4 linked regions of the Tamandua tetradactyla genome follow. The protein of the gene in region 4 purifies or fractionates together with the protein of the main gene of each other region. This does not show direct contact. Links are inferred from orthologs where the notes say so. Each region holds a gene or a part of one and is shown on either strand. Other genes may lie near its edges.

Evidence for each region.
Region 1: the proteins of FOXJ1 (region 4) and FBXO11 purify together in Homo sapiens (affinity purification with mass spectrometry; 3 studies listed by BioGRID and IntAct, counting the BioPlex papers as one, with this or other methods). This does not show direct contact. The link is inferred for Tamandua tetradactyla from reciprocal best matches to the Homo sapiens genes FOXJ1 and FBXO11.
Region 2: the proteins of FOXJ1 (region 4) and RFX3 purify together in Homo sapiens (affinity purification with mass spectrometry; 3 studies listed by BioGRID and IntAct, counting the BioPlex papers as one, with this or other methods). This does not show direct contact. The link is inferred for Tamandua tetradactyla from reciprocal best matches to the Homo sapiens genes FOXJ1 and RFX3.
Region 3: the proteins of FOXJ1 (region 4) and TBC1D32 purify together in Homo sapiens (affinity purification with mass spectrometry; 3 studies listed by BioGRID and IntAct, counting the BioPlex papers as one, with this or other methods). This does not show direct contact. The link is inferred for Tamandua tetradactyla from reciprocal best matches to the Homo sapiens genes FOXJ1 and TBC1D32.

Annotation. Positions count from the first base shown.
Region 1 is NC_135343.1:19,990,703-19,998,827, forward strand, and holds the start of FBXO11 (F-box only protein 11), read right to left. Parts: upstream 3,051-8,125; 5' UTR 3,017-3,050; intron 2,956-3,016; coding exon of another isoform or gene 2,753-2,955; intron 1-2,752. Other genes in the region: uncharacterized protein LOC143661103, read left to right, coding at 2,753-2,955, 3,051-3,315, 3,931-4,005, 4,430-4,515, 4,813-4,835, 6,524-6,577. UniProt on the Homo sapiens protein: Substrate recognition component of a SCF (SKP1-CUL1-F-box protein) E3 ubiquitin-protein ligase complex which mediates the ubiquitination and subsequent proteasomal degradation of target proteins, such as DTL/CDT2, BCL6, SNAI1 and PRDM1/BLIMP1.
Region 2 is NC_135328.1:94,621,099-94,629,420, forward strand, and holds the start of RFX3 (transcription factor RFX3), read left to right. Parts: upstream 1-5,020; 5' UTR 5,021-5,764; coding exon 5,765-5,831; intron 5,832-8,322. UniProt on the Homo sapiens protein: Transcription factor required for ciliogenesis and islet cell differentiation during endocrine pancreas development. Essential for the differentiation of nodal monocilia and left-right asymmetry specification during embryogenesis.
Region 3 is NC_135331.1:182,393,990-182,401,723, forward strand, and holds the start of TBC1D32 (protein broad-minded), read right to left. Parts: upstream 3,335-7,734; 5' UTR 3,192-3,334; intron 3,020-3,191; 5' UTR 3,017-3,019; coding exon 2,862-3,016; intron 1,077-2,861; coding exon of another isoform or gene 1,041-1,076; intron 1-1,040.
Region 4 is NC_135332.1:16,567,118-16,574,817, forward strand, and holds the start of FOXJ1 (forkhead box protein J1), read right to left. Parts: upstream 3,464-7,700; 5' UTR 3,031-3,463; intron 2,477-3,030; 5' UTR 2,305-2,476; coding exon 1,807-2,304; intron 181-1,806; coding exon 1-180. Other genes in the region: E3 ubiquitin ligase RNF157, read right to left, coding at 7,091-7,212. UniProt on the Homo sapiens protein: Transcription factor specifically required for the formation of motile cilia. Acts by activating transcription of genes that mediate assembly of motile cilia, such as CFAP157.

The sequences.
Region 1 (8,125 bases), on a different chromosome or scaffold from region 4:
TCCTCATAAGATTTCACTCTATAAGGTTTAATTTCTTTCTTCTTCAAACACTGACTATTCCATAAAAGAGAAAAAAAATATTTATTTATTAAGATGGATGTCAAGGAAATTTTTATACCAATTAATAACCCCATGGGTGAGGAAGTAGCTAAAACCCAGTTCTGACAGAATTTTTGTTTAAAAACAAAAAACAAAAGACACCATCTTTAACTATTATATTACTGCTAAAAAGCCAAAAGCCCATGCTTTATAAGGAAAAAAACAAATGATTTCACATATAGGTTGAACTAACTTAAATTGGCTTAACCAGTGAATCTCATTTGAATTTCCTATGGGAAAGTTATCTTCCCACTATTATGTAACTCTGTTCAAGAGTCTAATGCAATAGTTACATATCTATCATGTTAGCAAAAAGTTAAAAACAAAAGTTGTTCACTATTTGTAGTTCCTCAATCGCTTTATCAAAACTATGAAAGCTAGCACAGACTTAAAAAACAAAACAAACAAACAAACAAAAAACAACTAAATTAAACCATCACCACAACCTCTCCTTTCCAACCAGAAATGTTGACCCTGTGCATGCTCCATAAAACATCTAAAATAAAGACTATTCTTCTGGACTAAGTTCTGGTCATTATGTGAACTGTAACATTTAAAAATGTAATCAAAATGCCAATTTTCAAAGAATGATATATTTTTACATAAAGCTAACCAAATATCAATTATTGTAGTCTTTTAATCCATCTTAATGTTTTATTCATTTTGAAACCATTTATTTGTCCTCTAAAAGACCGATACTATTTTCCCTGAAGGCTAATCAGCAAGTTCTTTTCCCCTCTGTGCCAACAGAGTCTCTAAAACAGTTTCTACTAGCAGCAGCAAAGCAACAATTCTACAGTGAATTTGATTTGCCATTTAGTTAACTACATACTGAAAATTTGATTCATGAATCTGTTTGTCAATCAGTTTACGGACATCAATGAAAAGAAAATTGACACTTTGGCACGTGTCTGCCAAGAAGCAAGTCATATTATCACTTTATCTCAAATGGGAACAGGCTTTGGTAGTTAATAAATTTTAACAAATGAAGAAAAGTGTCCAAGATAAAATTACCGCATTTAAATTTGAAATTACACACAAATAGTGAAAGAGAGATTTGAAAGAAACATTTAAAAACACACAATGGGACTAAATTATTACTTGAGGTAAAATCTTTTGATTCAGCACTCATGTCATTAGCAAATCACTACATTTCGAAAAGTCTTACTTAAAGCAAAAGAATCCTTAATATTAAGTGGTAATTTCAGTCTCATATAATTGTTTCCTAAAACATATTATATTCTCAACATATTATATGTGTGTGTGCATATATACATATATATATATATATATACAGCCAATTCTGGAAGGAGACTGGAGCATTATTTGAATGCAACATAAGGGAGCTATATGCAGAAATAAAAAGAAATGATGAAATTAAAAACCTTTTAAATTTACTGAAAAACTGTAAATGTACCAAAGAATCACCAAAGCATAGTTACCAATTACGTAGCACAGGAGTCCTAACTGGCTTCAAACATCACATTCTTTCAAGCAACATATAGCAAACTGCTTTCTCAAGGACTATCTGTAACAGTGACCAGTGAAAACCCTTTAAAGTATTTTCCAGATTAACATCGACCTCCTCCATTTGTTAAATATTTAATCAAGTACAATGAAATAGTTTTTAAGGAAAGAATGTATAATTTAAAAAAAGCATTTAATCTCAATCCCCTACTCTTAAGAGTGACAACACATGTAAAATTAACCTTAATCCATCAAGTAAAACACGCAAAATGTCTCCTAACAATTCTCCTTAAGACAACAACCATACACGTAAATATGGTACTGACCCCCATCCCCACCCCCCACCGCGAGCAGCAAATTAATAAAGAGAATAGTTAGGTTTGGAGACCAAGGGGCAACACCCCCATCTCATAAACCTCCTCAAACAACACGTTATCTAAGTAGAACTGAACAATATTTTTGCTAAAGCTGGAATCCAACACCGGGGAGCCTCAGCCCTTTAGACAATGGTGGTTACCAGACAGTGCTGCACAGTTGGGTCCAAATGACACATTTCACTAGGCCTTGCACACAACACACACGCACTGAATCCCAAGGGGTCAGTTCTAAGGAAGGGACGTTCAAACCCCACTAGGAGATGGAAGGCAGCACCGAGGCGTGGCGTGGTGGGTGGGGGGTGGAGGGGCGCTAAGGGAGGACAGAGTAGAGGGGTGCCGATAGAGCGGAAGGGTAATTGCACCGCACGAGAGGGAGGGGGCTGGAAATGGCCGATGGATTCTATATTTATTTATTCGAAGACCTTGATTTAACGGGTCTTTTCCAGGGGTTCTGCAACTAAAGCCGAACTGCGTAGCAAACACTGTAGGGTTGGGAGAGGAGTCGCTGTTCCCCCTACCCCGTGACTAGGGAGTAGGGGGGAGGCGGGGGAAACAAGTTCCCCGGCCAATACCACAGACCACTCCGATCCCCCCTCCTCTACAGGAAGGGGGAGGCTAATACCGAGAAAGGGGGAAAACAAGTTCCCCAGCCAACCCCACCGCCCGATCACTTCCAGTCGTTTCCCCCACCTCCCATTATAGAAAGGGGGAAGCTAAACGGTGGAAGGAGGCAGAAAAGGGGGAAATCCCACCCTTCGCTTTCCCCTCGGCCACCAACAGGCTCCTGCGGGGTCCGTGAGGGAGCCAAAATGCCAAAAGGCGGGTGGGGGTGGAGGGTGCCGAGCCCCCGAAACCAAACAAAGCGCGGCCTGAGCTTAGCCCGGACGAGTAGGGGAGCCGCGGCTTTTCCTGCCGGCCCGGGCCCGGCCAGAGCTGACACTGCGGCACCAGGGGACCCGCCTCCGCTCAGCCGCCGTCTCCCACCCCGAGGCGCACAGGCCGCCCCCGCCCGGTCTCCCTCCCCACAACTCAGGGCCGAACCGGCAGGCCGACCCGAGCCGGCGCGGACTTACCCCGCTCGCCGGCGTTGTTCCGCTCCTGAGGCAGCGGCGGAGGCGGCGGTGGCGGCGGCGGAGGTTGCTGCTGCTGCGGCGGCGGCGGAGGCTGCTGCTGCGGCGGCTGCTGCTGGGGCGGCTGCGGCGGCGGCTGCTGCGGGGGCTGCTGCTGCTGTTGCACCGGGCGCGGCCGCGACACTCGCCTGGGTCTCCGGTTGGCGGCTCGGACGGAGTTCATTTGCCGGGCTGAGGTGGCGGCGCTGGCGGAGGGACACACACACGCACACGCACGGCGAGCTCCGATGCAGGAGAAGGGGGTGGGGAAAGGGGGAGGAAAGGAGAGGGGGCGAGGGGAAGGGGAGATGGTAAAGGGCGCAGGGGGCGAGCGAGATCCCGAGTCAAGAGAAAGGCCCGGGAAGAAAGACAGAGCCCGAGTGAGGCCGGGCGGGAGGGTCTGACGCACGGGAAAGGCCGAGGCCGCCGGGCGGGGCGGCCGCGAGGGACGGAGACAGAAAGACGGCCAGAGCGAGAGAGAGAAAGAAAGGGCGTCCGCCCGCTTTGGGATCCTGAGGCGAAGCGCGGCGACCGTGGCTGAGGAGACAGATCCCGGTCCCGCCGACTCCCGAGCGGCGTCTCCGGCGGTGGGGGGAGTGGGCGGGCGGGTGAGGAAGGGAGAAGGAGAGGAGAGGGATAGGAGGGAGGGAGGGAGCAGGGGGCGCCCGGATTTTTTTTCTTCCTTCTTCCTCCCCCCCACAGCCCTTGAAAGAGATTTCTGTGAGGAATTTTTCCTCTCTTTCTTCGGCCTCTTCTTTCTCCTGCCCCCCTCCCCTCCTCGGCGAAAGGGAAATGAGTGTGAAGGGAGGAGATAGGGGGAAAAAGAGGCGTCGTCGGTCCTCCTCCTTAAAGGAACCTATCCTCCTCCTCCTCCTCAGCCCCGTCGCCGCTGCTTCTGCTGCTGCTCCGTGGCAGGAGGAGCCATTGACACCACCGGAGCCTCCACTCGCCCAGTCAGTCCCTCCCCGCCGCGGGGCTGGCCAGGGGCGCGGGGGAGGGCCGCGGGGCGGCGGGGGGAAGGGTGAATGGGTGGGGAGGGGGAGGGGCGGGGATTCTGGCCCAGAAGCCAATGGGAGGCGCCCATACAACCTTTGGGCCAATGGACCCTCTGCTCTTATCGCGAAGTCCCTTCCTTCAACGCCCTGTTTCCTCTCTCGGGTTTCCTCCCTCCCCCGCCGGGGAGGGGGAAGGAGGAAAGGGAGAGTGTGGCGGGGCGGTGATAATGGGGAGGTATCAGGGCATATAATAGAGCGGGGGGTGGGCGAAGAGAGCGCTAGTGCGTAGCCACGATTCTAGGGGAGGAGGAACTCGGAGGAAAGGGCGGGGGTTGCTGATGTAATGGGGAGAAGTGATTAATTCTTCGGTTGGTCGTTTCAGCCCCCCCTTTCACCCGATCATTTAAGCGGAAAAAAAAAAAAAAGTGGAGCGAGGGAGCCGGTCTTCGGTAACTCGGGTTTTATCAAGTAAGTAGGTTCAAAGTCTGAACTGTAGAGAGCGCTAGAGATTCTGTGCCCTTTTTCTAAGCCTAGGGTATTTGCAAACCTTGATCTTTACCGAGCTGTTAGTTTGGCAACCGAAGTTTGGAGTCGGTTTCTAATCGTAGTCTAAGAGAATTCATCTAAGTCTATGAGAGATCTTGGTAAATATGTAGTACATCTTTGATCGATTTGCTTTTTTGGAGGTGATCCATATAATGTTCGGAAAAATAATATGTGAGTAAATTGTGATTATATGATTTTTTTTCTTCTTTTTTTTTTTAGATCCCACAGACTCAAAGGAAAAGGTAACCCCAAGAGGAATGATCAGATCTGTTGTATCTGTATCTGGTCCCTTCAGCATAATATCTCCCCGAGGAAAACGCGTTTTTATTTTTCAGCTGTTATGATGACTGAAAATGTACTCTCTCAATTCTTCCCTCTCTTTTGTTTATCATTTTTTGGATATGGAAAAACTGGCAGGTTACCAGAATCTCTGGTTTTCAGAACTTACGATGATTTCTTTCTTACTGAGTTTGATCCATTGCTGTCTAGGTTTGAGGTAGACAAACTCTAGGCAGCTTCATCTCTGGGATCAGTTGTTTGTTTTCCAAAATAAGATCCTATTTTGGATTATACAGTCTTTTCCAATTAAAAATAATTCTGTGAATTTGAGATGTTCTGTCTTTGGTGCAGAGAGTGGAGAAACTTAGGTCTTAGTTTCATCCTCAAAAAAATATTTGAGCAAGGGGGCTGTTAGAAAATAAAGAATTCGAATTTTTTCTGGTTGTTACCTAGGTGCAAATGGGTAAAATTTTAGATTTATTTCAATTAAACATAGGGCAAAAAGTAAAATTACAGGAAAACAACAGTACCATGATGATTATAAGTAGGTCCATAATTTTAATCTTTCTAAAAATTTACTTTTTATTCAACAAGCCCTTATTGGTTCCTCCCATTTATGAATTACTATATAAGGTGTTTGGGGGAATATTTTTTAAAAAGTCAGAATCTTGGGCATAGTGTATTTGGTGTGGCATGGTAGCAAATTTACTGACAGTTCAGATGTACAAAGAAAATGTAACTTGTTTATTTTCTATAACTTTACCCTTCTTCAGCTCCCACATTATCTCAACTTTTTTTTTTTTTTTACATAAATGCTCAGCTCTTTCAGATTTTATTTCCCCACCTCCCTCTCATCCTAAGATGTGTAGACGGAGAGAGGGTCTTTCACATCTTTAGTATCCTAGATTTCTAAGTTTACTATGACAACTTTCAGGGATATGGACATAGAACTCCTTGTTCTAACAAAATCCGTTTTTTATTACAATTTTCTGATAGATGGAAGTAAAATATCTTGAGAAAGGGAGCTAATTTTTCTAATTCGCACAGTGGCTAGTGGGCTGGTGAATGGGGAGAATCCATGGCATCAGAGAAGGGTGGTCCAGCCACCCATGCTGGTCCTTGTGTTGTTCTCTGAAATGGAATGACTGGTAAGGGCTGATAGGACTGCTGCAGATGTAAAACAGGTCATTTCTGTCCTTTCCAGATGCCATGTTGGTTCTTTTTTGTTGAGGTCCATAACCTGAGCCATTTGCCCCACACTTTTCTTCATCTTTGTTCTGATCCCAAGTCTCGGCAAGTCTACTGATCCTCTTGATGCCATTCTTATCTCCTCACTGATGTACCTGGGAACTTCTAGATTCCCCAAATACACATGTAGATCTAGTAAGCCATCTCCCCCCACAAATGTTGCACTGTTTTCCCTACATTATATTGAACATGCTTTCAGGCTGAAAGCTGAACTTGTAAAGGTCTCTGTCTTTCATAGGTATATTCAGGGAAGAAAACCACTATCCCTAATTCTCTTGAATTTCCCTGGGACTGTTTGAATATTTAGCCACACATCCCCATTTCTATATTCTATCTTGAGAAGGGGAAGGAAAAAAAAGCACATTGGGTCTGATATTTCCTTGTCTCCTTTTCTTCTTTCCAGTGTCTCCCTGGGTTACAAGAAATAGATTTTGGGTGGGCCACGGTGGCTCAGCAGGTAAGAGTGCTTGCCTGCTATGCCCGAGGACCCGGGTTTGATTCCCAGTGCCTGCCCATGTTGAAAAAAAAAAAAAAGAAAGAAATAGATTTTTCCCCTTTTTATATGTCAGGAACTTTCCTTATGTGCTATATTCTCTTTGTTCTTGAGGGGGCATTTATTCTGTTCTCTTTCTTGGAACTGTGCTGGCTGATGGGGTGTAAGAGAGAAACTAGTTTAACAATAATGGAAAATCTATTGGGAGGTATTTAAAAATATTATCCCTGTATTGCTAGTTTCCACATATTTTTAGTTTATCTCATGGGAATTAATGTTAGTCTTCTTTGTGCAAAAGTATTCAAAGCCGTCTTAACTTAGAATTGTGGAATTTGGGAGTTAGGACAGGTCTTGGAGATCATACTCTCTTCTGTATTTGACAGACTGGGAAACTAAAGTCCAAAGAGGTGAGGTAACAAAACCAAATCCCACAACAAAGTTACTGCCTGCCAGCCCAGTGTCCTTTCCATTCATAGTTATTACAGACTCTTAATTCTTCCAGCTAAAATTCAAAATCTTCCAGGGGACTTTATCCATCTCCATGTCTACCTGTGTTAACAAATAATCCTAGCAATTAGCTGTCATAGAATTTTTATGGGCTAGAAAGGAGAAAAATGTAAAGGGGTTTTTTATTTGGGGTAGGAGATTCCCAGAATTATTTCAGTATACAATTAGCATAATTTCAGAGGTCTAAATTCCCTTAGGGTTTACTCTCTGTTCAAAAAGCATTTGTTTGTTTTTCTCATCTAATTACTGGTGCTTAACAGGTTAGTGTACTTAAAATTATTTGTTTATGAAACCTATCACAATAGGAGATTGGAAAAATAAGCTCATTAATCATTTTAATACCTGGCAGGTGATATTTACTGTGATTTTTTTAAACTGTAATTTTTGTCATTTCAAAGATGCAGCTTCCCCTTCCTCTGTCATTCCCTCATCTAGGCCCAAGTCATCAGCACTGTCCGTTACATAAGACACCTCAAAGCTGCTCACTCCTTTTATATCATTTAGGAAATGAGTTTGATCTGAATATGGTTTTCCTGAAGGAATAACCAGCTCTGTTTAAAATATCCCCATTAGAGTATGAATGACTTATCTTACTAAGCTGCAAAAATTCACTCTTTAGTACATGTTCAGATAATATTTTATCAGGTAGTTAAAATTAACTTGGAACTAAGGATTTAAATTTCATGTATATGTAGAAAAACCTGGTAAGCACACAGTCCAGTGATACTCATAATAGAGGTTATTTTTAGAGAATTTTAGACTCAGCCTTCTTGTGCAGACATATCCCTGTGAAAAATATTATGTTCAAGGTTTAGGATGGGCTGTGATAAACAGTTGCAAATCTTTATTTTTACTTTTTAAAAGCAGAACCCAATCTCTAAGCATGTGAGAAGAGTAGGCCAAAATAATAGAAGTATATTTATATTATGGAAGGACTGATAGGTGACACAAATGTAGGCAGATTTAAGAGTGGAAAACCAAGAAAGAGCTTTGCCACTTACTGGC
Region 2 (8,322 bases), on a different chromosome or scaffold from region 4:
GACCTAATGTTTAGATCTTTGATCCATTTTGAGTTAACTTTTGTATAGAGTGTGAGATACGGGTCCTCTTTCATTCTTTTGCATATGGATATCCAGTTCTCTAGGCACCATTTATTGAAGAGACTGTTCTGTCCCAGGTGAGTTGGCTTGGCTGCCTTATCAAAGATCAAATGTCCATAGATGAGAGGGTCTATATCTGAGCACTCTATTCGATTCCATTGGTCGATATATCTATCTTTATGCCAATACCATGCTGTTTTGACCACTGTGGCTTCATAATATGCCTTAAAGTCCGGCAGCGCGAGACCTCCAGCTCCGTTTTTTTTCCTCAAGATACTTTTATCAATTCGGGGCACCCCGCCCTTCCAGATAAATTGCTTATTGGTTTTTCTATTTCTGAAAAATAAGTTGTTGGGATTTTGATTGGTATTGCATTGAATCTGTAGATCAATTTAGGTAGGATTGACATCTTAACTATATTTAGTCTTCCAATCCATGAACACGGTATGCCCTTCCATCTATTTAGGTCTTCTGTGATTTCTTTTAGCAGTTTTTTGTAGTTTTCTTTGTATAGGTCTTTTGTCTCTTTAGTTAAATTTATTCCTAAGTACTTTATTCTTTTAGTTGCAATTGTAAATGGAATTTGTTTCTTGATTTCCCCCTCAGCTTGTTCATTGCTAGTGTATAGAAACGCTACAGATTTTTGAATGTTGATCTTGTAACCTGCTACTTTGCTGTACACATTTATTAGCTCTAGTAGTTTTGTTGTGGATTTTTGCGGGTTTTCGACGTATAGTATCATATCGTCTGCAAACAGTGATAGTTTTACTTCTTCCTTTCCAATTTTGATGCCTTGTATTTCCTTTTCTTGTCTAATTGCTCTGGCTAGAACCTCCAACACTATGTTGAATAATAGTGGTGATAATGGACATCCTTGTCTTGTTCCTGATCTTAGGGGGAAAGTTTTCAATTTTTCCCCATTGAGGATGATATTAGCTGTGGGTTTTTCATATATTCCCTCTATCATTTTAAGGAAGTTCCCTTGTATTCCTATCTTTTGAAGTGTTTTCAACAGGAAAGGATGTTGAATCTTGTCAAATGCCTTCTCTGTATCAATTGAGATGATCATGTGATTTTTCTGCTTTGATTTGTTGATGTGGTGTATTACATTAATTGATTTTCTTATGTTGAACCATCCTTGCATGCCTGGGATGAATCCTACTTGGTCATGATGTATAATTCTTTTAATGTGTTGTTGGATACGATTTGCTAGAATTTTATTGAGGATTTTTGCATCTATATTCATTAGAAAGATTGGGCTGTCGTTTTCTTTTTTTGTAATATCTTTGCCTGGTTTTGGTATGAGATTGATGTTGGCTTCGTAAAATGAATTAGGTAGTTTTCCCTCCACTTCGATTTTTTTGAAGAGTTTGAGGAGAGTTGGTACTAATTCTTTCTGGAATGTTTGATAGAATTCACATGTGAAGCCGTCTGGTCCTGGACTTTTCTTTTTAGGGAGCTTTTGAATGACTAATTCAATTTCTTTACTTGTGATTGGTTTGTTGAGGTCATCTATTTCTTCTTGAGTCAAAGTTGGTTGTTCATGTCTTTCCAGGAACCCGTCCATTTCCTCTAAATTGTTGTATTTATTAGCGTAAAGTTGTTCATAGTATCCTGTTATTACCTCCTTTATTTCTGTGAGGTCAGTAGTTATGTCTCCTCTTCCATTTCTGATCTTATTTATTTGCATCCTCTCTCTTCTTCTTTTTGTCAATCTTGCTAAGGGCCCATCAATCTTATTGATTTTCTCATAGAACCAACTTCTGGTGTTATTGATTTTCTCTATTGTTTTCATGTTTTCAATTTCTTTTATTTCTGCTCTAATCTTTGTTATTTCTTTCCTTTTGCTTGCTTTGGGATTAGTTTGCTGTTCTTTCTCCAGTTCTTCCAAGTGGACTGTTAATTCCTGCATTTTTGCCTTTTCTTCTTTTCTAATATAGGCATTTAGGGCAATAAATTTCCCTCTTAGCACTGCCTTTGCTGCGTCCCATTGGTTTTGATATGTTGTGTTTTCATTTTCATTCGCCTCGAGATATTTACTAATTTCTCTTGTAATTTCTTCCTTGACCCACTCGTTGTTTAAGAGTGTGTTGTTGAGCCTCCACGTATTTGTGGATTTTCTGGCACTCTGCCTATTATTGATTTCCAACTTCATTCCTTTATGATCCGAGAAAGTGTTGTGTGGGATTTCAATCTTTTTAAATTTGTTGAGACTTGCATATGGTCTATCTTTGAGAATGATCCATGAGCACTTGAGAAAAAGGTGTATCCTGCTGTTGTGGGATGTAATGTCCTATAAATGTCTGTTAAGTCTAGCTCATTTATTGTAATATTCAAATTCTCAGTTTCTTTATTGATCCTCTGTCTAGATGTTCTGTCCATTGATGAGAGTGGTGAATTGAAGTTTCCAACTATTATGGTAGATGTGTCTATTTCCCTTTTCAGTGATTGCAGTGTATTCCTCACGTATTTTGGGGCATTCTGGTTCGGTGCATAAATATTTATGATTGTTATGTCTTCTTGTTGAATTGTTCCTTTTATTAGTAGATAGTATCCTTCTTTGTCTCTTTTAACTGTTTTACATTTGAAGTCTAATTTGTTGGATATTAGTGTAGCCACTCCTGCTCTTTTCTGGTTGTTATTTGCATGAAATATCTTTTCCCAACCTTTCACTTTCAACCTGTGTTTATCTTTGGGTCTAAGATGTGTTTTCTGTAGACAGCATATAGAAGGATCCTGTTTTTTAATCCATTCTGCCAGTCTATGTCTTTTGATTGGGGAATTCAGTCCATTAACATTTAGTGTTATTACTGTTTGGGTAATACTTTCCTCTACCATTTTGCCTTTTGTATTATATCTATCATACCTATTTTTCCTTCTTTCTACACTCTTCTCCATACCTCTCTCTTCTTTCTTTTGTATCTGACTTTAGTGCTCCCTTTAGTATTTCTTGCAGAGCTGGTCTCTTGGTCACAAATTCTCTCAGTGACTTTTTGTCTGAAAATGTTTTAATTTCTCCCTCATTTTTGAAGGACAATTTTGCTGGATATAGAAGTCTTGGTTGGCAGTTTTTCTCTTTTAGTAATTTAAATATATCATCCCACTGTCTTCTAGCTCCCATGGTTTCTGCTGAGAAATCTACACATAGTCTTATTGGGTTTCCCTTGTATGTGATGGATTGTTTTTCTCTTGCTGCTTTCAAGATCCTCTCTTTCTCTTTGACCTCTGACATTCTAACTAGTAAGTGTCTTGGAGAACGCCTATTTGGGTCTATTCTCTTTGGGGTGCGCTGCACTTTTTGGATCTGTAATTTTAGTTCTTTCATAAGAGTTGGGAAATTTTCAGTGATAATTTCTTCCATTAGTTTTTCTCCTCCTTTTCCCTTCTCTTCTCCTTCTGGGACACCCACAACACGTATATTTGTGCAGATCATATTGTCCTTGAATTCCCTGATACCCTGTTCAAATTTTTCCATTCTTTTCCCTATAGTTTCTGTTTCTTTTTGGAATTCAGATGTTCCATCCTCCAAATCACTAATTCTATCTTCTGTCTCTTTAAATCTATCATTGTAGGTATCCATTGTTTTTTCCATCTTTTCTACTTTATCCTTCACTTCCATAAGCTCTGTGATTTGTTTTTTCAGTTTTTCTATTTCTTCTTTTTGTTCAGCACATGTCTTCTTCATGTCCTCCTTCAATTTATCGATTTCGTTTTTGAAGAGGTTTTCCATTTCTGTTCGTATATTCAGAATTAGTTGTCTCAGCTCCTGTATCTCATTTGAGCTATTGGTTTGTTCCTTTGACTGGGCCATATCTTCAATTTTCCTGGTGTGATTTGTTATTTTTTGCTGGCGTCTGGGCATTTAATCAGATTTCCCTGAGTGTCGGACCCAGCTGGTTGAAAGACTTTCCTGTGAAGTCTCTGGGCTCTGTTTTTCTTATCCTGCCCAGTACGTGGTGCTTGTCTGTCTGCTGGTCCCACCAGCAAAAGATGTTGTGGCTCCTTTAACTTTGGAAGACTCTCGCTGCTGGGTGTGTGGTGGAGACAGAGGAAAGGGTGTAGGTTGGTTTTAATCCTTCAAATTGTGAAGTCCTGGGATCTGAATTCCTTGAGAGAGGGATTCCACCTGAGTTGCGTTTCACCCCTCCCGCGGGGAAGGTTCAGGTGGCAGAGAGCCCTAAAAACAGCCTGTTTCTGTGTTTGCGGCAGTTGTAACCTATGTAATCCCAGCGTTGAGCCCAGAGGCAATGAAGCCTCCATAGAAACAGCCGCAGAAGTCTCTGTTTCGCCCCCTTTCCTCTTTTTCAGTTAGCCCAATCGGCGACTTCCACCTTGATCAGTTTCGCCTGAGCTAAGGGCCTATTTTTAGTAGTCAGAAGTTGTTCCTTAATGCCACTATTGGTGTTAGGTTGGGCTAGTCTCTACTACTGTTGGAGACTCTTTCCTTTCCCTCTGGGAAGTCGCCTGTGGAGGGGGTTGCCATCTGCCATGGCTTGGGGAACCGCTATTCCGAGGCTACCAGCTGGCCCGGGAAGCCACGTGTGTGGAAGGGGCTGCAGTCGCTGGCCACCGCGGCTTCGGGGACCGCTGTTCCAAGGCTACCAGCCAGCCCAGGAAGCCGCGCGTGGCGGAGGGTCGCCAGCTGCCGCGGCTTGGGGAACCGCTGTTCCAATGCTCCCAGCCGGCCCGGGAAGCTACGTGTGTGGAAGGGGCTGTGGTCGCCGGAAACCGTGGCTTGTGGGACCGCTGTTCCGAGGCTACCAGCCGCCCCGGGAAGCCACGCGTCGGGGAGGGTTGCCGGCCGCCGTGGCTTGGGGAACCACTGTTCCGATGCTCCCAGCCGGCCCGGGAAGCCGCGTATGTGAAGGGGCTGCGGTCGCCGCGGCTTGGGGAACCCGATCCAAAGCTCCCAGCCGGCCCGGGAAGGAGGGAGGGAGGGGCTCCGGCCGCCAGCTGCCTCGGCCCGGGGAAGCACGCGCCTCTCGGGGACCTCACTGCAGCGGAGTCTCTTAGCCGGTCCAGCCGTTCCGGAATGGGTTACGCTGTGTGTCTGGTCTCTGTTGTGGCTCCGGGAGCTGTTCTGTACTGTTTCTATTTCTTTAGTAGTTGTTCTGGAGGAGGAACTAAGACCCGCGCGCCTTACTAAGCCGCCATCTTCTCCGGAAGTCCCTGCATTTTATACTTCTAAATGCTTCAAATATCTTAGTGTTTATGGTACTATAGAAACTGCAGGAGAACTTCTCCTGAAATCCCTTCCCTACCTTTTTACCCCCACTATCCCAGGTAGGGTTAAAGGATTGCTGCATTTAAAAATAATGAATAGCAAACAGACTTTATTGGAAGCAGTGAGAAAGAACACTAAGGCTCCTGTATTGTGAACATTTCCAGGTAGTACTCAGGTTGGTGTAATGATTCATCTGTATGCTTCTATCTAGCATCCTGATATGGCAGTCAAATAAATGGATGTCACATCATTTCTATAGTTGTTTCATAGATTACAAAAAATTAATTCTGTATTAGAGTAAATTCAAATTAAAGGTAGAAAAACATAGCAGTTGTCCTTAGGAAATTCAGCCAATGACATGGCAGCATGCAGATCAGTGGATATTAACTATTCGGTAGAGCAATTGGCTAGCATATTGCTGATGTCATAATTCCCCTACTCAACAATGGGTTGGTTATGCTGGAAGGTACAACAGTTTGAATGTATGAACTTCTGCTTCCACTACAACAGGACTTTAAAGGAAGGCCTGCCATTGACACATGGAAAGGTAAAAAGAGCAGGGGTTGGGGATGGGATGTTTATTGGAGGGATAGGCCCAGTGTTTGTGAATACACTTAAACTAGTCATCATTCATTAGTCCTTGAGATATATTTGTACCCAAATTGCTTCTCTACCTTTACAGGTAGTTAAAATGCAATAGGGAGTTCCTTAAGGATGATCAAACATTGCTGTTTTATCATTTTTTTAATTAAAATGTGAATCTATGTGATTAAAATTGGTATCATTTTAAGATAATCACATGGTTAACTTTTTGTAAGATAATATAATTTAAAGTGTAAACACTTTTAAGTTCATATATTAGTTTTAGCAGCCACATGGTTTCTGTCAAAGATATGATGATGGTGTTGAATCCATCAGCCTTCACTGGGAGCAAACTGCTCCTTGTTTCAATTTGATGTATTGAGTCTTTCTGTTTAAGTAGCCGTTGTCATTTGGGAAAAGTCGTCAGCTTCTGTGGGAAGATAAAAACACAGTCTTCTGATTAGGAAAGAAGGCTCAAGAGAAATAAATTGGAGCTATACCATCCATTTCAAATCTGTGGTTTTGTAAATGTCCTAAACAGGTGCACCTCAAGTTCCCCTATATATTTTTCAAAATTTTATTATGGATGTATGTTTGTAAGAAAGATAAATAGTTTTGTATTTAAAATCTTTGTGACATGATTTATAACAAATAACTATGCAATTGTGTATAGATGCTATAATAATTACAAATAATGTTTCAAGGGTCCCTACCCTTCTCTTTCAACCATATCACACTCTACTTTGATCATTATACTTACAATATTGTCCCAATATCAGATTGTATTGTACTATCCATTTCTGGATTTTTATAATCAATCCTGTTGAACATTTTATACTCCTCCAACATCATATGCTCAAACTACCCTCTTTCTATCTCTTGATAAAATTTGTTCTCAACTTTAAGTCTTAGAATTTGCTTATTAATGTTCATATTAGTGAGACCATACAGTACAAAAGAGACCATTTGTTCTTTTATTTCTGGCTAATTTGGGTCAACATTATGTCCTCAGGCTTCATCCATGTTGTTGCATTTGTCATGACTTCATTCCATCTTATAGCTGTGCAATATTCCATCATATGTATATACCACACTTTGTTTAGTCGCTAAATAAATCCCTTTTTATATAAAAGCCAGTCGTCTCTGGTGTTCTAGTTTGTTAGCTGCCAGAATGCAATATACCAGAAATGGAGTGGCTTTTAAAAAGGGAATTTAATAAGTTGCTATTTTACAGTTCTAAGGCCAAGAAAATGTCCCAGTCAAAACAAGTCTATATAAATGTCCAATCAAAGCATCCATCTAGGTAAAGATACCTTGGTTCAAGAAGACCAGTGAAGTTCAGGGTTTTTCTCTCAAGTGAGAAGGCACATGGTGAACATAGTCAAGGCTTCTCTCTGTTGTAGGTAGAGCCAATTGCTCTACCAAATAGTTAATATCCAGTGATCTACATGCTACCATGTCATTGGCTGAATTTCCTAAGAACAACTACTATGTTTTTCTATCTTTAATTTGAAGCTGGAAGGGTATATGGTGAACACGGTGTCATCTGCTAGTTTTCTCTCCTGGCTTCCGGTTTCATGAAGCTCCCTGGGAGGCATTTTCCTTCTTCATCTCCAAAGGTCGCTGGCTCATGGGCTCTCTGCTTTGTGGTGCTGCAGCTTTCTCTGCTCTCTCCAAATCTCTCATTCTCCAAAATGTTTCCTCTTTTATAGGACTCCAGTAAACCAATCAAGACCCACCCAAATGGGTGGAGACACATCTCCCCTAATCCAGTATAACAACCACTCTTGATTAGGTTACATCTCAGAGAGATTATCTAATTACATACAGTATTGAATAGGGATTATTCTGCCTCTACGAAATGGGATTTTGATTAAAACCTGGCTTTTCTAGGGTACGTACATCCTTTCAAACCAGCATATCTGGTATGTTGCATTGTGGCAGCTTTGGCAAACTAGAGTACTGCATTTCTTGGATCTGTAATTTTATGTCTTTCCTAAGAGTTGGGAGATTTTCAGTGAATATTTCCTCCATTATTCTTTCTGCCCCTTTTCCCTTCTCTTCTCCTTCCAGGATATCAATAACACATTTGTGCACTTCATGTTGTCATTAATTTCCCTGAGACCCTGCTTATATTTTACCATTCTTTCCCCTGTTTGGTTTTTGTTGTAGGATTTCAGATGTCTTGCCCTCTAGTTCACTAATCCTTTCTTCTACCTCTTCAGATCTGCAATCTGCTGTTGTTGGGCTCCATTGTGTTTTTCATTTCTTCTTTTGTGTCTTCCATGCCGATAAGTTCTGCCATTTGTTTTTTCCAGCTTCTGTGTTCTTCTATATGGCCACCCAGTGTTTTTATATCCTTAATTTCTTTTGCCATATTTTCCTTCAGCTCATTGATTTGGCTTAGAAGATGTTTGAACATTTTTAACTAGTTGTTTCAGTTCCTGAATCTCATT
Region 3 (7,734 bases), on a different chromosome or scaffold from region 4:
TTCTTTTAAATGACCCCCAGCTAACTCTAATGTTGCAAAGGTTGAAAACTAGTTCTTTGTTTTATTGGGAGCCAGTCTGAGTGCAAAAATGTACACAACACACACACATAATTAAAGCAATGTGTTCCCTACATGTCCCCTGTCCCACAGGTCTTAACTCCTTGCTATATCTTTTCAAGACTATGTACTGTTTTAGTTGGAAACACAGAAGACACTATGGAAAGCAAAGATAGGTTAGGGCTGCTGCCACAGGACAAATCCCCAGATAAGGCTGATCTGCCTTTGCTGTGGTTTCCCCACAAATTACTGGAATTTTCCCCGTATTATTTCATTATACTATCTGAAATTCCACTATTCATGGACTTAATTGTCTTAACAATCCTTTTACAAAAATGTCAACAGTGTAGAAACACCAGTTTCCCCTACATGTCTGTTTTTAAAAAATTATATTGTTCCTAATATTAAGACATCATGTGGATTTACAGAATCAATGTCCTGATAGTGGAGATGGAGAGATGGATAATTCTGAAGTATGAAGCATTTGGGGAACAAACATATACCTAAGTGAATCAAAAATATTAAGAATTCAAGGAGCATTAGGGCAGCGAAAAGAAAGAAAAATGGAAATTCAAGCACCGGAGCTAAATGACAGGATTATAAATCTTACTTTTAAGATTGCAAACTATCATTGGAGTCTGTATGGATTTCTTCAGCACAAGTAAATCTTTTTAGTAAACAGTAAACATTAACTATGCATGTTAATCAACAAGCATTTAATCTATTTAATGAACTGTTTAAGACGAATAAATTGCACTATTACAAGAGTCAACTGATTCCTGAGATCAACTGCAACAATTCAACTTTAACTGGGAAACCATTTTTAATGAAATGCAGCCAAAGCAATGCTAATAGGGAAATATGTAGCTTAAACACTGATATTAAAAAAGAAAAAACCTGAAAATTACTGAACTTAGCATTCATCACCAAGTTAAACAAAACAAAAAATAAACACATCTCGCCTGCCATGCTGGAGATCTCACCTGCCATGCCAGAGACCAGGGTTCAACTCCCAGAGCCTGTCCATGACAAAAATAAAAAATAAGTAAGATAAAAATAAATACATACTAGAAAGAAAAAACAAGGCCAAAAGCTAGTTCTTTGAAAACACTAATAAAATTAATAAATATGGCAGATCAAGAACAAAAGAGGGAAGACAAAAAAAAAAAAGGATAAAAAAAAAGCATGACTACCAATAACTGAAACATTAAAACAATAACAGGATAGTAACAAAAAGCTTTATGCAAATGAATTTTAAAATTTAGATAAAATGGATAAGGTTTTTTGTTTGCTTGTTTTTTGTATGCTGTATGGTAGGGTCACATTTCATTACTTTTCCATGTGAGTTTCCTGTTATTGCAGCATCATTTGTTTAATTTTTTTGAGTGTTTGTCTTTGTTTTTGTTGTTTTGTTTTGTTTATTTGTTTTTGGGGAAGTGCATGAAAATGGAGAAACTTTTAAATATGATCCTACCAAAAACTGACTCAGTAATTTAAAAATTATTCAAGCAACTATTTGCACATGAGATAGAAACCAGAAATGAAATCCCAACCTTAATGCTTGATATGGACTTGTGTGAGGTAAACCAGCATTACCTGAGTTTATAAAACATTGATGACCAAACCTGTTCTGAGAAAGCTGCGATTTTTTCTACATTTCACTGTTTAAGTAAGAAATCAATAGCTAACCAATAAAAGTTGTTCTTTGGTATCACCAAAATAAAGAATACTATCATCCAATAACAGCTATTAGTGGATTTATGAAGGAAATAAACAAGAAAATCACAGAAACACAAAAGAACAGTATGTATAACCAAAAATATTAGCAAAATAAGAAACTCCCTATCAACAAGAATTCCTTCCAAACTTTTAAAAACTCCCTTGAGAATCTGATGAAAACTATAAATGCTCTCCACATAAAACTGTACATAAACACTAACTTGGAGCAGAATTCCAAAGGGCTCAAGGATCCCCTAATGCCTCTATATGAAATAGGTAGGAATTTCAGATAAATAGAACTTCAGGGTACACAGAATCAGCAAAGGTAAGTAACCAAATAAAAGTTCAATATCATATGAGAGATCAAAATAATACGTAATTACTGGGTTAAAGTACTACTAACAACAATGAACTAAGGCACTTGGAAGTAGACATTTTAAAACTGAGAGGCTTAAATTATAAGAACCAAATCAAAGGGGGAAAAAACATCTCTAAAGAAACATATTCAGATGACCCCTCCCTGGTTAAACTTTTGCTTTCCCTAAGTGCGGAGCACTCTAAACCTCTCCTACGGCCCTTATATTCCCGACGCGTAGCACAGACATTTGGGTCTGTGCCTTACCGTTCCCAGGAACCTGGCAATTCCAGAGCAAGAGAGCCTCTCACTGCAAGGGTGCTTAGGTGATAATTGGCGTGCCCATTGTGGAATGGGAACAGTAAAGGAACGGAGATCTTGGGAATTCACTGCTTTTTGATATGATGACTGTCCTCCCTTGAAATAATAGACTTGTTCTAAAAAGAAAACGAATAATTTACGATTGCTGTTACGGGGGGGGGAGAGGGGGCGCGGGAGAAGAATCAGAGAACTAAGATACGTTGGTGGCAGTAAATGCAGAGAAACTAGAAGCGATGGTAGGTAAAGAGAAATGACATGTAAATTCAGTTTGCGTAGACAAAACGAAAAAAAAATGAACCTCCAACGTGGGCGTTATTTTAATAGTCAAGGGACCATTCTTTATCTGCTATCCTTTGACCTTTCCGAGGTCAGCCGGTTAGTTTGCTTAAGACATCAAAAGTTATTTTACTTGTGAAAATTTTCATCCGTTTCCTCGAGATGTAAGAGGACCTCCTCGGCGCACTCCAGGGAGGGAGCACCTGTGATTTTCTCCTTCACGCTCTGGAACAGCTGCCGGAGCATCGCCCGCAGCGCCGCCTCGTCCTCGCGCGAGAAGTGGGCCATCACCTGTCGCAATCAAACGCCCCCCGCCTCAGTCGGGTTCCCAGCGAGGCCGCGACCCGCGCACGCGCATGCCCAACCCAGCCGGCGCGCAGCGCCGTTCCCCGGGAGACCGCGGCGGGCGCTTAGGGGTCGAACCCGGCAGCCCGCACGTTGTTCTGGAACACAAGCCACTTACTTCAAGGCAACAGGGTCGGCGAGGCCCCGCCTTTGGTACTCGTCGTTGCCAGCCTCCGCTACCACAGAGCTCAGGCCGCCCCGAACTAACGGCAAAGGAAATCCAGGAAGGCTCTGAGGATGGGCGGGCGCGACGGCGGCTGGCCGGCGCTACGCGTGACGTCATCGCGTTCACGTGGTTCCGAGTACCTGATGGTTCCCCTCGCCCACAGTAAGGGCTCACCTGTGCTCTCTGTCCCTAACCTCGGGGTGGCGGGTGGGTTGGAGAAGAGTAGAAAGAAAAAGGGGGCTATTAAAGAAAGATAATGAAAGTGAAACTGAAAGCACCCTGAAAAACTTGCAATGAATAATGAATGGTAATAAAATGTTGCAATGTTGTTTCCCTTTATGTCAAAGAATCCTTTAACAAGACACTTTACTAGGAGATGTGAAGAAAAGGAGGCCCTCATGATCTAACAGACGCAAAAAGAGATGAGGATTACAATGCAGTGTAATTGAGTGACATGCTAAAAAGATGTGCGAGGTAGGTGCTGTGGAAATCCAGGCTTACCTTTTTATCCGATAGAGGAGGAGAGGAAAGAAGCACACAGAGCAAACGGGATTTGCAAAGGAGAGGGGCCTGGAGAGTGGCATGCTAAGGGCTTTGAGTTAGTAGGGTTAGAAAGAGGAGGTGAGAAAGCTAGAGAAGTAAACTGTGTTTGGCACTTTAAAGTATCTGAGATTTATCCTACAAGCAGTAGGACGCATTTGCACTCCAAAGAGAAACCAAGATGTATAATGTATAAATATCACTTCGCACAAAGTTGCAAGGGATAATCATGGCCTCTTCAGTTTCCAGATTTATATTCTCAGATCTAAATCCTACTGATTGATAGGTAGACAGGTTCCTACTGAGGACCTTTCAACATCACCACAAATATAGATGGTAAATATGCCTGGGCTCTCCCCCAAGGAGACCAGTAGACCCTCAATATGATCTTCCTAGACTCTCAGCACTTTTGTCCTCATGAGCTCCTTAATCCACAAAAAGTACATAGATACATTAAAAATTGTGTTTAATAACTACATTGGTAGAAAAACAAATATATTCCATGTTGGATTCATTACCATATATAGGTGACATTCATATTTTTCTTCTGATTAAAAAAATTTTAGCATTATCATAAGCCAATGAAACTATGATGGGCTGCAATACTGTGCTTAATGGCTAAGTCAGCACAGGTGACTGGTAGCCACTCACTAGTGTAACTAGCAGGAACATGCCGTGACAAACCACCTGGGAACGAATTCCAGTGCTTTCCTCTTCTTTTGTTGGTTTTTGAAAATCCTTCATAAGGTCACCAACACTCTAGGCTGCTTTCCACCTGTACTGCTCCTGGGAACGTCGTGATCTTTCAGCCATTGCCACAGATTGATGTAAGTCAGGAGCCCTAATTACCACTCTAGTCTTGCTACTCATTACTATACTTATGGCCACATTGCCTCTGACTGCTGATGTTATGTGGGCTCTGCCTGTCAGTAATCCCTTCATCCTCATTGGTACTAGAGAGCCCAATTCCATGGCAGTGTCTCCCAGGGTCAAAAAAACCTACTGAGGACAGCCACAGCCAAGCTTCTCAAAGATGCCAGTGACCTTCAAAGATACCAGTGACCCTTTTACTACTGAATTCCTAAATGTCTGTGATAGATACACTCTAAGTGACCCCTAATGAGCCAGGCCCTTGTACAATCACTATCTTAGTTTCCCAGGGCTGCTATGACAAATACACTAGTTGGCTTGAACTTCAGAAATTTGTCTCACAGTTATGAAATTTAGAAGTCCAAAATCTGGGTATCAATAGGTCATGCTTTCTTCAAGGTCTATAGTGTTCTGGTGGTAGTTTTCTGGCAATAGAACTTTGCCTTCTCACTTGGAGTCAATCTCTTACAGTCTTCTCTGTGACTTCTACTTCCATTCCAAATTTGCTTTGCTTATAAGGACTGATAGTAATATTGGAACTAAGGCCCAGCCTATTTCAGTGATGCCTCCTCTTAATAGGATCTTAAATGAGTTCATACCACAGGCCCAGGGTTTAGGGTTTAAGCATGCCCTTTTAGGGGACATGATTTAATCTACCACAATTACCTCTGTATGAATGAGGGTGGAACCTTTAACTAGCTCCTAACCAATTGAATACAACAAATGGGATGAGATATTACTCCCTTAATTAGGTTAGATTTTATGATGAGGATTATGTTTTGTTATAAGATTCCATTTTAGAAGACGAGAGAGAGAGTCTCCTGCTGGCCCTTAGAGCAGTCTATAGCCAAAGTCGTAAATAACAGGAGTCCTTAGTCATACAGGCATGACAAAAATGAATTCTGCCAACAGCCTGTGCTGGAATGAGTTTGGAAGTAGATTCTTCCTCATTTGTGCCACCAGATGAGAACACAGCCTGGCCAGCAACTTGATTGTTGCTTTGTAAGACTCTGAGCCAGTCACTTGGCTAAGCCATTTCCAGACTCCTGACTCACAGAAACAATGAGATAATAAATGTGTGTTATTTTAAGCCACTAATTTGGTGACAATTTGTTGCATCAGTAGATCAATCAGTAGAGAATAATGCATTGTCCTGGTGCAAGGAATGCACCTCTAGGTCCTCCCAGGTAAATAAGAAATGCATTCTCTTGTTTCACATAATATAGTCATTCTAGTATTCCACCACCTTGAGCTTTCTGACCTCTTCCTTGATATGATGCCACAAAATTCCAACATCTACACCTCACTATAGGTCAAGGCCATGTTCAAGCTACAAGTAGCCGTCTCAGCAGAGTATTAAGATCAGATCCTGGGGTATATCAGAACCTTCAATCCCAATTACTGGTAAATGATTCCATGATAATGAATTCTCCACTATCCAGCCTTCTATTTTATTCACATGGCCTTGCAACATCTGAGACTGTTCACATGATTTCTTTGATGTCTGTGCTGTTTCCTCCAGGAGCGAAAGTATAATGTATCTTCACCACATATAACATCAGGTTTCTTCATAGGGTGATAAAAAGTTTTAATATTGGATAGTGGTGATTTACACCAAATTGTAAAGCAACTAATGCTGTTTAATTGTACATTTAAAATAGTTGGAATTTATGACAAACTATCAACCACAATAAAAATATATCGTATATACCCAGAAGAGCTGAAAGCAATGACACAAACAGCATTTGCACACCAAAGTTCATAGCAGCATTATTCACAATTGACAAAACATAGAAACAAACCAAATACCCATCAACAGACGAATGGATCAACAAAATGTGGTATATACATACGATCATATGCATACATACGATGCAGCAGTAAGAGAAAATGACATCCTCATGAAGTACATGACAGGATGGTTAAGCCTTGAGGACATAATGCTGAGTGAAATTAGCCAAACACAAAAGGACAGAAACTGTATGATTTTACTTTTATGACCAGCATAAAGATATAATCAGAGGCTTATAATAGAAAATATAGGGAACTTAGAGATACATAGCAGCTAGAGCTGGGTGAACTGTTAGGTAATGAGATTGAACTCCAATGTAAGGGAATAGATGGGAGCAAAGATGATTCTGTAGTGGGTCAAGAAGTAATAGTACCATGTTGAAGATAAACAATATTGAAAGGGGTTGTACAGACCTACGTGTCCCACTGACTCACACTAGAAATATGAATTAGTTTACGCAAGAATTACTTCAAAGATATGATTCTTGTGTAAAGAGTGTTTAAGTCCAGGGTACAGGGGGAAAACTGCTGTTGCGTGCTATGGGCTATGTTCAAAAGGAAACCATCAGCACTACCACAGCAACAGCAGAGGTAAATAATGGGGGGAAGGACAAGAGTTAGGAGGAGGTTTAGATTTCTGTTTGGTGAGGTGGTGTTTATTGGTTTTCTTTCTCTTGGGAACAATGAAATTATCTAAAATTGAGAATGTTGATGGACTGTGGACTTTGGGCCCTCTACATGATGCCCAATGAATGCAGGTGTCTGAAGGATGCACTGATGAAGAAGTAGTTTGGTGAACAATTGTATATACTTATGAACAGAGACTGCACTGCTACAAAAAGGAACAAAGTTGTGAGGCATGCAATGATGTGAATGAACATATGGAACATTTGGTGAGACAAAATAAGCCAGAAACAAAAAAACAACAATGGTATGTTCACCTTTAGAAAACGCTTATAAGAAAACAGGGGCCTAGATTGTAAGCTTTTAGAGCAGATACATGAAATCCGGAGTGGTGATTATTATTTCGGGATTTTGAGAGGCTGTTTTATATATATAACCTGATATTTAGAGATAAGAATGAAGCCGAACAGGTTGGGGTTAAAGTAATTCATAACATAGGGGTAAGGAAGACAGTGTCTATATTTAGGAACCACACATACTCTTTGAGACCAATGGAAAAAAAGGTTTATTTGATCTGGGACTGAAATTTTCTGTAGTGCATGATCTAATTCAACCTATCTTCATAGCTCATTTGAACAACTGAAACACAGGGAGCACAGAATGAGAAAGA
Region 4 (7,700 bases):
GTGGGCGAAGGCAGGGTGGATGTGGACCGGAGGCAGCCGCCGCTTCTTGAAGGCCCCGTTGAGCAACCGCTCGGCGTACTGGGGGTCGATGCGCCAGAAGCCCCCCTTGCCCGGCTCATCCTTCTCCCGAGGCACTTTGATGAAGCACTTGTTCAGGGACAGGTTGTGGCGGATCGAATTCTGGGCACAGGGAGAGAGCGAGAGACAAAGAGAGCGAGCACTGGGTCAGTGGGAAGGGCTGGCGACGGGGTGGCCCGCGCTGCGCCTGCACACACACGTGCGCACACACGCACACACACACTCACACACTCCCTGCAGTGGTGGTGGGGGAAGAGGGATGTGCTGGTTTGACTGGGCGGCTCTGGGACACCAGCCACAGGGTCCTGGGGGCCGGTGCTGTCGGGGGCTTTTGTTCCCTGTTGCTGGGATATCTGCCTGCTCAGTCATCCGAGCCCGGAGCCGCAGGGTGCCTCTCATGCCACCCCCACGCCTGCCCTCCCCCCCCACTCCGGCCTCTGGCCAAAGCCCTCGGCTCCCCCAGGGCCTGGACTGCCAGCTCCCTGGGCCTGGGCCTGGCTGGTTCTCTCTGTGAAGTGAGCAGGCGACTGTGTGTGTGATAGAGAGAGAGAGGTTGAAGGGGGCGGGGGGTGCTCTGGTGACTCTCCCTGTTTGTTAGCCACTGCTGGCCTGGGCCATGGCTCCCCACGGTCCCAGCCTCCCACCCTGGGCTCTGAGGCCCCCGCTGACCATTACCCGGCCAGGGGCACAGTGCTTGTTCCTGGGGCCAGGTGGGGGCCGGGTCTCAGCTTTTTCTCTGAGGCTACAAAGGGCCACAGTCCCAGGGTCAGGGCCTGGTGGTCAGGCCCAGGTGGATGGGGAATGGCTTGAGACTGTGATCCTGCAGCCAGCCCCTTTGGGTGCTCCAGGGAAGAGACCCTGCCAGACTGGGGGCTCCCAAGGGTCTGAGCCTCGCAGGACCATGTCTGCGGGTCCGGAAGCCCTCATCCTGCTTTGTTCATTTTCAGTGCTTAGTCTTGTCCAGATGGGGGTGTGGGGCCGGGCCAGCAAGGTGGGTGGCTGGCGAGGGCCCCCCTGCCAGGCCGGGATGTTTACTTGGTGGCCTAGGCCCCTTGGCTGCTCTGTGCCAGGTCCCGGAGACTTGGAACGAGAAGCCAGTGAGGGAGGCAGAGCCCCTGTGGAAAGCACCTGGTTCAGGTAATTGTCCCCCCGGGGAGGCTGGCTGAGAAGTGGGGGAGGAGTGCAGGCAGGAAACCGGTGAGGGGGTGGGGCAGGGGACTGGCACAGCAGCTTCAGTTGGGCCCCATCTCCTCTAGGAGGACACAGCTGGTCTTCACACCCCACAGCACTCCCCTCCCCCAGCCAATTGCAAAAGACGGATAAGCCTGGCGGGGGGCCGCTCGCGTTTCCGCTTCTGAGTCCGGCCCTGATGGACTGCCCCTGAGAAGGGCCGTGTCTAGGAATTCTGGGACTCCGGACAAGAATGTGTCCGCAGTTCATCGCCCTCCACCAGGAGACTCTAACCCTTGCATAGTCTAGTCCTGGCCAGCGAACTGGGCCTGCTGGATGAAGGACAAGCTCCTTCCCCTCGAACCTCAACGTCTGCACTCCTAGAACATTCTCCCTCCTCCCTCTCTGGGAGCCAAAGATGGGCAGTTCCAAGAACTGGGTTCCTCGAAGGCCCTTGCTCGACGGCCTCCTCCCTTCTCGGGCCCTGGCTGCGCCGCGCCTACTTGGCCTGCGGAGCTGGGATTGGGGAAGGGGCGGCCGCCGCCCGCGCCCCCGTACCTGCCAGGTGGGATCGGCGTGGCGGAAGTAGCAGAAGTTGTCGGTGATCCACTTGTAGATGGCCGAGAGCGTGATCTTGGTGGCCTTGCTGGCTTGCATGGCCATGCAGATGAGCGTGGCGTACGAGTAAGGCGGCTTCACGTGCGGGTTGGTGGCGTAGTCCACGTCGTCGGGGGGCGGGCCCTGCAGCCCCGGGGGCGCGCTCCGCGACGTGCACGACGACGTGGGTTTGCCGGGTGTGTGCGACTGCCCCAGGCAGGCGGGGTCGGCCGCCAGCGGGGACCCGGGCGCGGCCGAGCCTGGCACCTGGTGGTAGCCGTGGGGGTCGGTGCCCCCCGGGGGCAGGGCCGGGGCCTTGGCGTTGAGAATAGAGAATTCCTGCAGCCACTGCAGGCTGGTCAGGCTGTCATCCAGGGCGTCAGGCTCCTCCAGGCCGCCCTCCGGCCCGGCCTCCTCCGCCGCCCCCGCTCCGGAGAGACGCAGCCAGCTCTCCGCCATGTCTGCCGAGACTCTCCGAGGGGTCGTGTACCATCCAAGGGCTGAGCCGAGGGTGACTCGCCGCGCGCTCTCTGGCCGGCCGACTCCCGCGGCTCCGGTTACACAGCCGCCCGGATGCGCGCTTCCATCCCGCGACCCGGGGGTCGCCTCCTCCGAATAAGTATGTGGTCGCCTGCAGAGACCACAGCGGGAACTGAGCACTCTTACCCCACCCCCGAGGGGACAGGGTGTGGGTAAAGGAGGCCTCGGCTAAAATCGTCCCCGAAGTTGGGGAGGATCTTTCAGTGCCAAGGCGTGAGAGACAGAGGCAGTACCCTCGGGTCCGACCCTCACAGGGTCTACTTCTCTCTTCCTTTCCTCCTCGAGGTTCTAGGGAGAAGAGGGCAGGGGCATCCGAGTGTACTCCCTTTTTCCCGAAGAGCGGGAACCAGGATCCCTCCCCCCGCCCCTTAACAAATAGCAATGGGGCAAGGGAGTCCGGGAGGGCAGTACGATGGGACGGAGGGCAGCGGAGGCCATCTGATCCTTGAAAAGGGATATTAAGATAGGAGAACACGAGGAAGGAAGGGGACATAACAGAGTTATGGAATGGAAGCGGGAAGTAAGTTACTCTAAACTGCTCAGATGTCAACCCCTGGGCCCACCACTTCCGTCGGGGACGGATGGGAAAGAGGGTTTAGTACTGACGTCCTCCCTTCCATGGCCCGCAGCCCTCCCTGTCCTTACCTGGCTCAGAGCGCAGCCCAGGCCAAAGGAAGGTTCTGGAAAAGTTCCTCCCAGCCCCCGCGGCTCTCTGCCCCCAGATCGAGGGCGCCGCCAGCTCCCCTCTTCGCCCCCCCTATCCCGCCCGACGGCGTCTCTCTGAGTGCCGGCGGCGGGGAGACTGGCATTAAGTAGCCGCTGGAAAAGGCTTCTTCTGCTGCCATGACAACACTCCGCCCCCATAAACAGCTTCTGCGGCTGCCATTGGTCAGTCCGTCTCCAAGGAGACCGCGAGCTCTGGCCGCGCTCTCCAGCCGTAACTCTCCGCGAACTCCCTCCTTCGGCCGCTGACTCCCGCGCCATCCAGCCCCCTACCCGCCAACGCGTCCCCGCTCTCGCTTTCCCGCGCGAGGGCCCCGCGCTGGGCTCCGAGGAGCACGCGACTCCGCGCTCCCGCCCAAGGACCCGAGAACCACCTTCGATCTGTGCATCCCAAGGAACCGCGACTCCCGCCCCGCCCCTTCCTTTTTTGGCCCCTCCGAAGCATCGACGGTTCTGGGGACCGATCCTCGGGCTCCAGTTTGTGAACCGTATCCTTGGGGTTTCCCGCTTTTGCTCTGGGCTGCGAATGGCAGCTCATTTCTGCCGCCCTTTCCTCTCCCGATCCCGAGTATCGTCTCTGGTGCCCGGCGAGCAGGTCTTACTCTCCGATGCCACCTGCCGCTGGTACCCGCAGAAACGCCACACCGACTGCAGACACACCAAGGCGGGTAGGGCAGTCCAGTGTCTCCCGGTAAGCCGTCCTTCCCCTCCGGGGCCGGGCTCTCTTCCGGCTCCTAGCCTTAGAGAGGTCCAGCAAGCTGACATTCCAGAGGCTTCTGAGGTGGCGATCTCTCCTATTCCCAGATAACAGGAAGCAAAGCCCATGGGCAAAACTTAGAAGAGCCAGGAACCTGCCAAATTCTCCTAGCAGAACCATTTGCCTTCTATAATCCCACTAAGCTTTACCTGATAGGGACTAAGACTAGAAGCGCCCTGGCAGCTGTGGCCCTCCCGCTCCCCAGGCTCCCTCCTGTCACCACTTTCCTGCTTTTTAATTATGGAGGAGCAGCACTGTTGGAAGGTCTCGGATTAAACGGGCAGCAGCAGCAGGGCTGGATGGGGTGGGGTGTTGAGACGCTGCCCAGAAGCCAGGCAGAAACCCAGGGATGACCTCTTAACTCCCACCCAGGACATGTCCTTTCCTACCCCTGGCCCTTCCCATTCTTCCACCTCAAAAATGTTGAAATGTGCTGGAGAAAGATGGACAATAACTTTCATAAATAAGCCAGCTTCTTAGGTACAGCTCTCCTTCCCTTGTAAACAGTTTTATTCATTTTTAAGAATCATGCAGCAATCCATAAATATTGCATCCTTGGTGTCCCCACTGTAGTGTGCTGTGTGTGTACTCCAGGGAGGAAGGGGGGTACACAAACAGCACCAACAGGACACACACACTTGCACACACCAGGTATACAGGTCCTAAAGCAAAATGAGCAACCAGCATGCCAAATTCAGGGGGACAGGCTCTCAGGGCTCCCCATGGTGTCACAGCTTACAGTGTGGGGTCTGTGCTCAGAATATGCTCCCAGCACGGGCATAAAGTCTGGTGGGATGAACAGTGAAGGAGTGGGGGGTGGGGGGAGACGGAGAATGGTTCTGGGAGGAAGCCAGGCCTACTGCAGCTCTCCAAGGCCAAGACAAGAGCTTAGATCTGAGTGTGGCAGGAAGGAGGTGCTGGCCCCAGCATCTGTGCCCTCGATGAGGAGCCAGGCCACCCCATTCTCTCTCCGTAAAATGCTTACAAAATAAGACTGCTTCCTTCGAATGACAGACTGGGGCAATGGGGCTAGCAGCTGACCTGTGCCCTGATCAGGTGGACAAGACCAGACTTTCTGGATGGGATGTTTCCACTTATCCAAAGAGGTAAAAAAGAAAAAAGAGAAAACAGGGCCTATCTGAGAAAAAAGGAATAATGGGCCATTTCTAACCCAGACACTTCCATCTAGTTACCAAGGGCTAAGGAGGGAGCCAAGGCCAGGAACCCCCTGGGATTCCTTCAGGAGGCTTTCTGAGCCTTGTCCAGGGAAACACTGAGGAGCACATCCTGCAAGGAAGGTCACAGATCTTCAAGGAAAGGGTGAAGGTAATTACCTCCTCTTAGGTTCCTGGCCTCAGTGGCTACTGTTTACCTGAATCTCCTTCATTTCAGCCTCTTCCCCAGGGATCCTCCCCGGTAACACCACGCTGTGAAAACCACCTGTGGGGACAGGAGGTGGGTCTGTGTGCAAGTGCCTCCAGCTCAAACTTCAAGGAAACCAGGAAATGGGGTTATTGCTCAACATATACTGGTTTAAGTCTTAAATAGGAAAGTGACTATGAAACTTAAGGGGGAAGAATCCACTGAGGTATGTCAGAGAGGGTGGACGTGGGAACTCAAGACAGAAGCTTAGGTTCAGATGTGGCTGTGAGGGTCTCAACCAGCATAGTGGGCCACCCTTCCTCAGGGCACAACGTAGCCCACCACTACCTTCCTCCTGCACTGTGTGGCCACATGGGCGCAAAGGACCCCTGCGCACTGGACATGGAAAGGTCTGCTAGGGCAACAAAACCAAACACTTTAAGAAGGTCCCTCGCAGCGGGTGTAGCCAAGGGCTCTACCTCATCTCAACCTCACAAATAATTGTCTAATTTTGCTTCTCAAACTATCTCACACTCCACTGAACAATCACCTTTTCCATCAGCCTGCAGACAAAGCACCTATCCAAGAGCCAGGTGGAATCTTTTGATAATACTGGTGTTGAGAAAAGAAGTGCCACCTGAAGGCTTAGCCTGGCCTTGCTGTTTCAAGTTGTTGTTTGTATGCAGTTACACTAGGGTGGGAGGACATGATTTAAACAACATTCTCCAAATCTCTGAAATGATGAGCCTGTGGATGGCTCTGCTTAAGCCAGGGGGACTGTACCTCTCCCACTTTCTGCTCTGAGGGTCTGGGAGGCAGGGAAGGAAAACACAAAGGAGAGGAGGATCCTGGAGGCAAAGGCCCTGGTTCCAGCCAGAGGGATCCTTGCTGGGCCGGCTGGTACCCGGATTTAGCTCAGCACTCTCCATGAGTTCTTTGGGGCTCCTGGGCACCAACTGGAGACTACTGGGCCCTACCTCTTAAGTTTACTTCTACAATTATTGACCAAAAAAGGAAGGAGACAGGGGCAAAGGGGATAAGAATCTCACCTTACAGGACTATGGTGAGATGTAATGTGCTAATATACAAAAGCTTCTAACCCAGTGCCTGGCACAGAAAAGTGGTCAAAAAATCTTTCTTGAAGTGTAACCATCAGAAGGAGTTCCAGGCTTTCACGAATGCACCTGTTAAGAAATCCTTTTTAAAGGTTATTATCTTAACTGGGGGATTCTCAGATTCAAGGTCTCCTTCCTAAGCAGACAGGTATACGGGCAAAAGGAGACTAGCTCTACTACCAGAAGGAAGAAACCTTTAGGTTGCCACCCCTGAAGCCTGGATGTTCAAAGGGGGTTCCTAACCCTTTCTGAGGGAATTTCACTATAGTGCACTGCTTCTTTCTCACTGGAGTTGTCCTCTACCCCTTCCCCCAGAGTTTTCAAATTGGTTAGATGGTTCACAGGCCAGAAAATGCCAGATGGGTGTTTGCAATGAAGCCACCAAAACTGAGTCTGTTTGGCCTACCCCTAGCAGAAAAAAGATCCATAAGAAACAACCAGCACGTGGATCTTGGCTCCACTTGAAGATCAACGTTGGGGGAGACATCCACAGTCTCGGTTAAGAGCCGCAGTTAGAGTGGCTTCAGCCCACAAGGAGAAAAGAGCACTTTTGGTCTCTTCCGAGGGGAAGGAACATGGTTACAGAAGACGTGGCTGGGAGAAGGAGCAGGGTGACCCACATCCAGCTCTCACATGAGTATAAAGCCTCCACGTGTCCTGATGAAGATGGCCAGAGGCTGGTGGTCCAGCGAGGACAGGATGGAATGTGAGGACAGGAGGAGAGCCCTGGCACAGGGGCTGGGGGTCCTCAGACAGCCAAAGGACCCCACACACAGCCTTGGTTCTCAGGGTCCTCCAGGCTGCTGGATGACAGGCGCCGGCGCTGGGTGCTCCTACGATTGACTGCATTGTCATCAGCCTGCCAGGTACCTGGGGACGAGAAACTGAAGTTATAGGAGCAGGATGTTTGGCCAGGTTGGAGGGTGTCTCCAGCAAGGCAGCTCAGAAGTTCAGCACAGAAGCTAGCAGGAGGTGTGTTATCTGAAGCTCTTATGAAGGTGCAAGCCACAGTGTATGAGAGAAAGAATCGGGGGAAGTGGGTGTCGAAAGGTGCAGGGAGCTGTTCCTGCCTCATCAGGCTAGGTAGAGCTACTGCCACTTGGTCCACTGACAGAGAAGGACACTTAGAATGTCCTTTCTTTTGTGAATGTACCCTAGTATCTCCTCTTCTATCTTAATTATTTGCTTTTGGAGCTTGTCTATATGTTGTGGTGGACCAGGAAAAAGAAGCTGGGTCTAGGTGAAATTTTCATCACGGGCAGGAAACAGAAGGAGTGACAGGCCTTACGCTGACGTGGGCCCCAAGTGTCTGTGTTTGCAAGGGGAGCGGGGGTGGGGCAGGAAGTGACTGACTACCC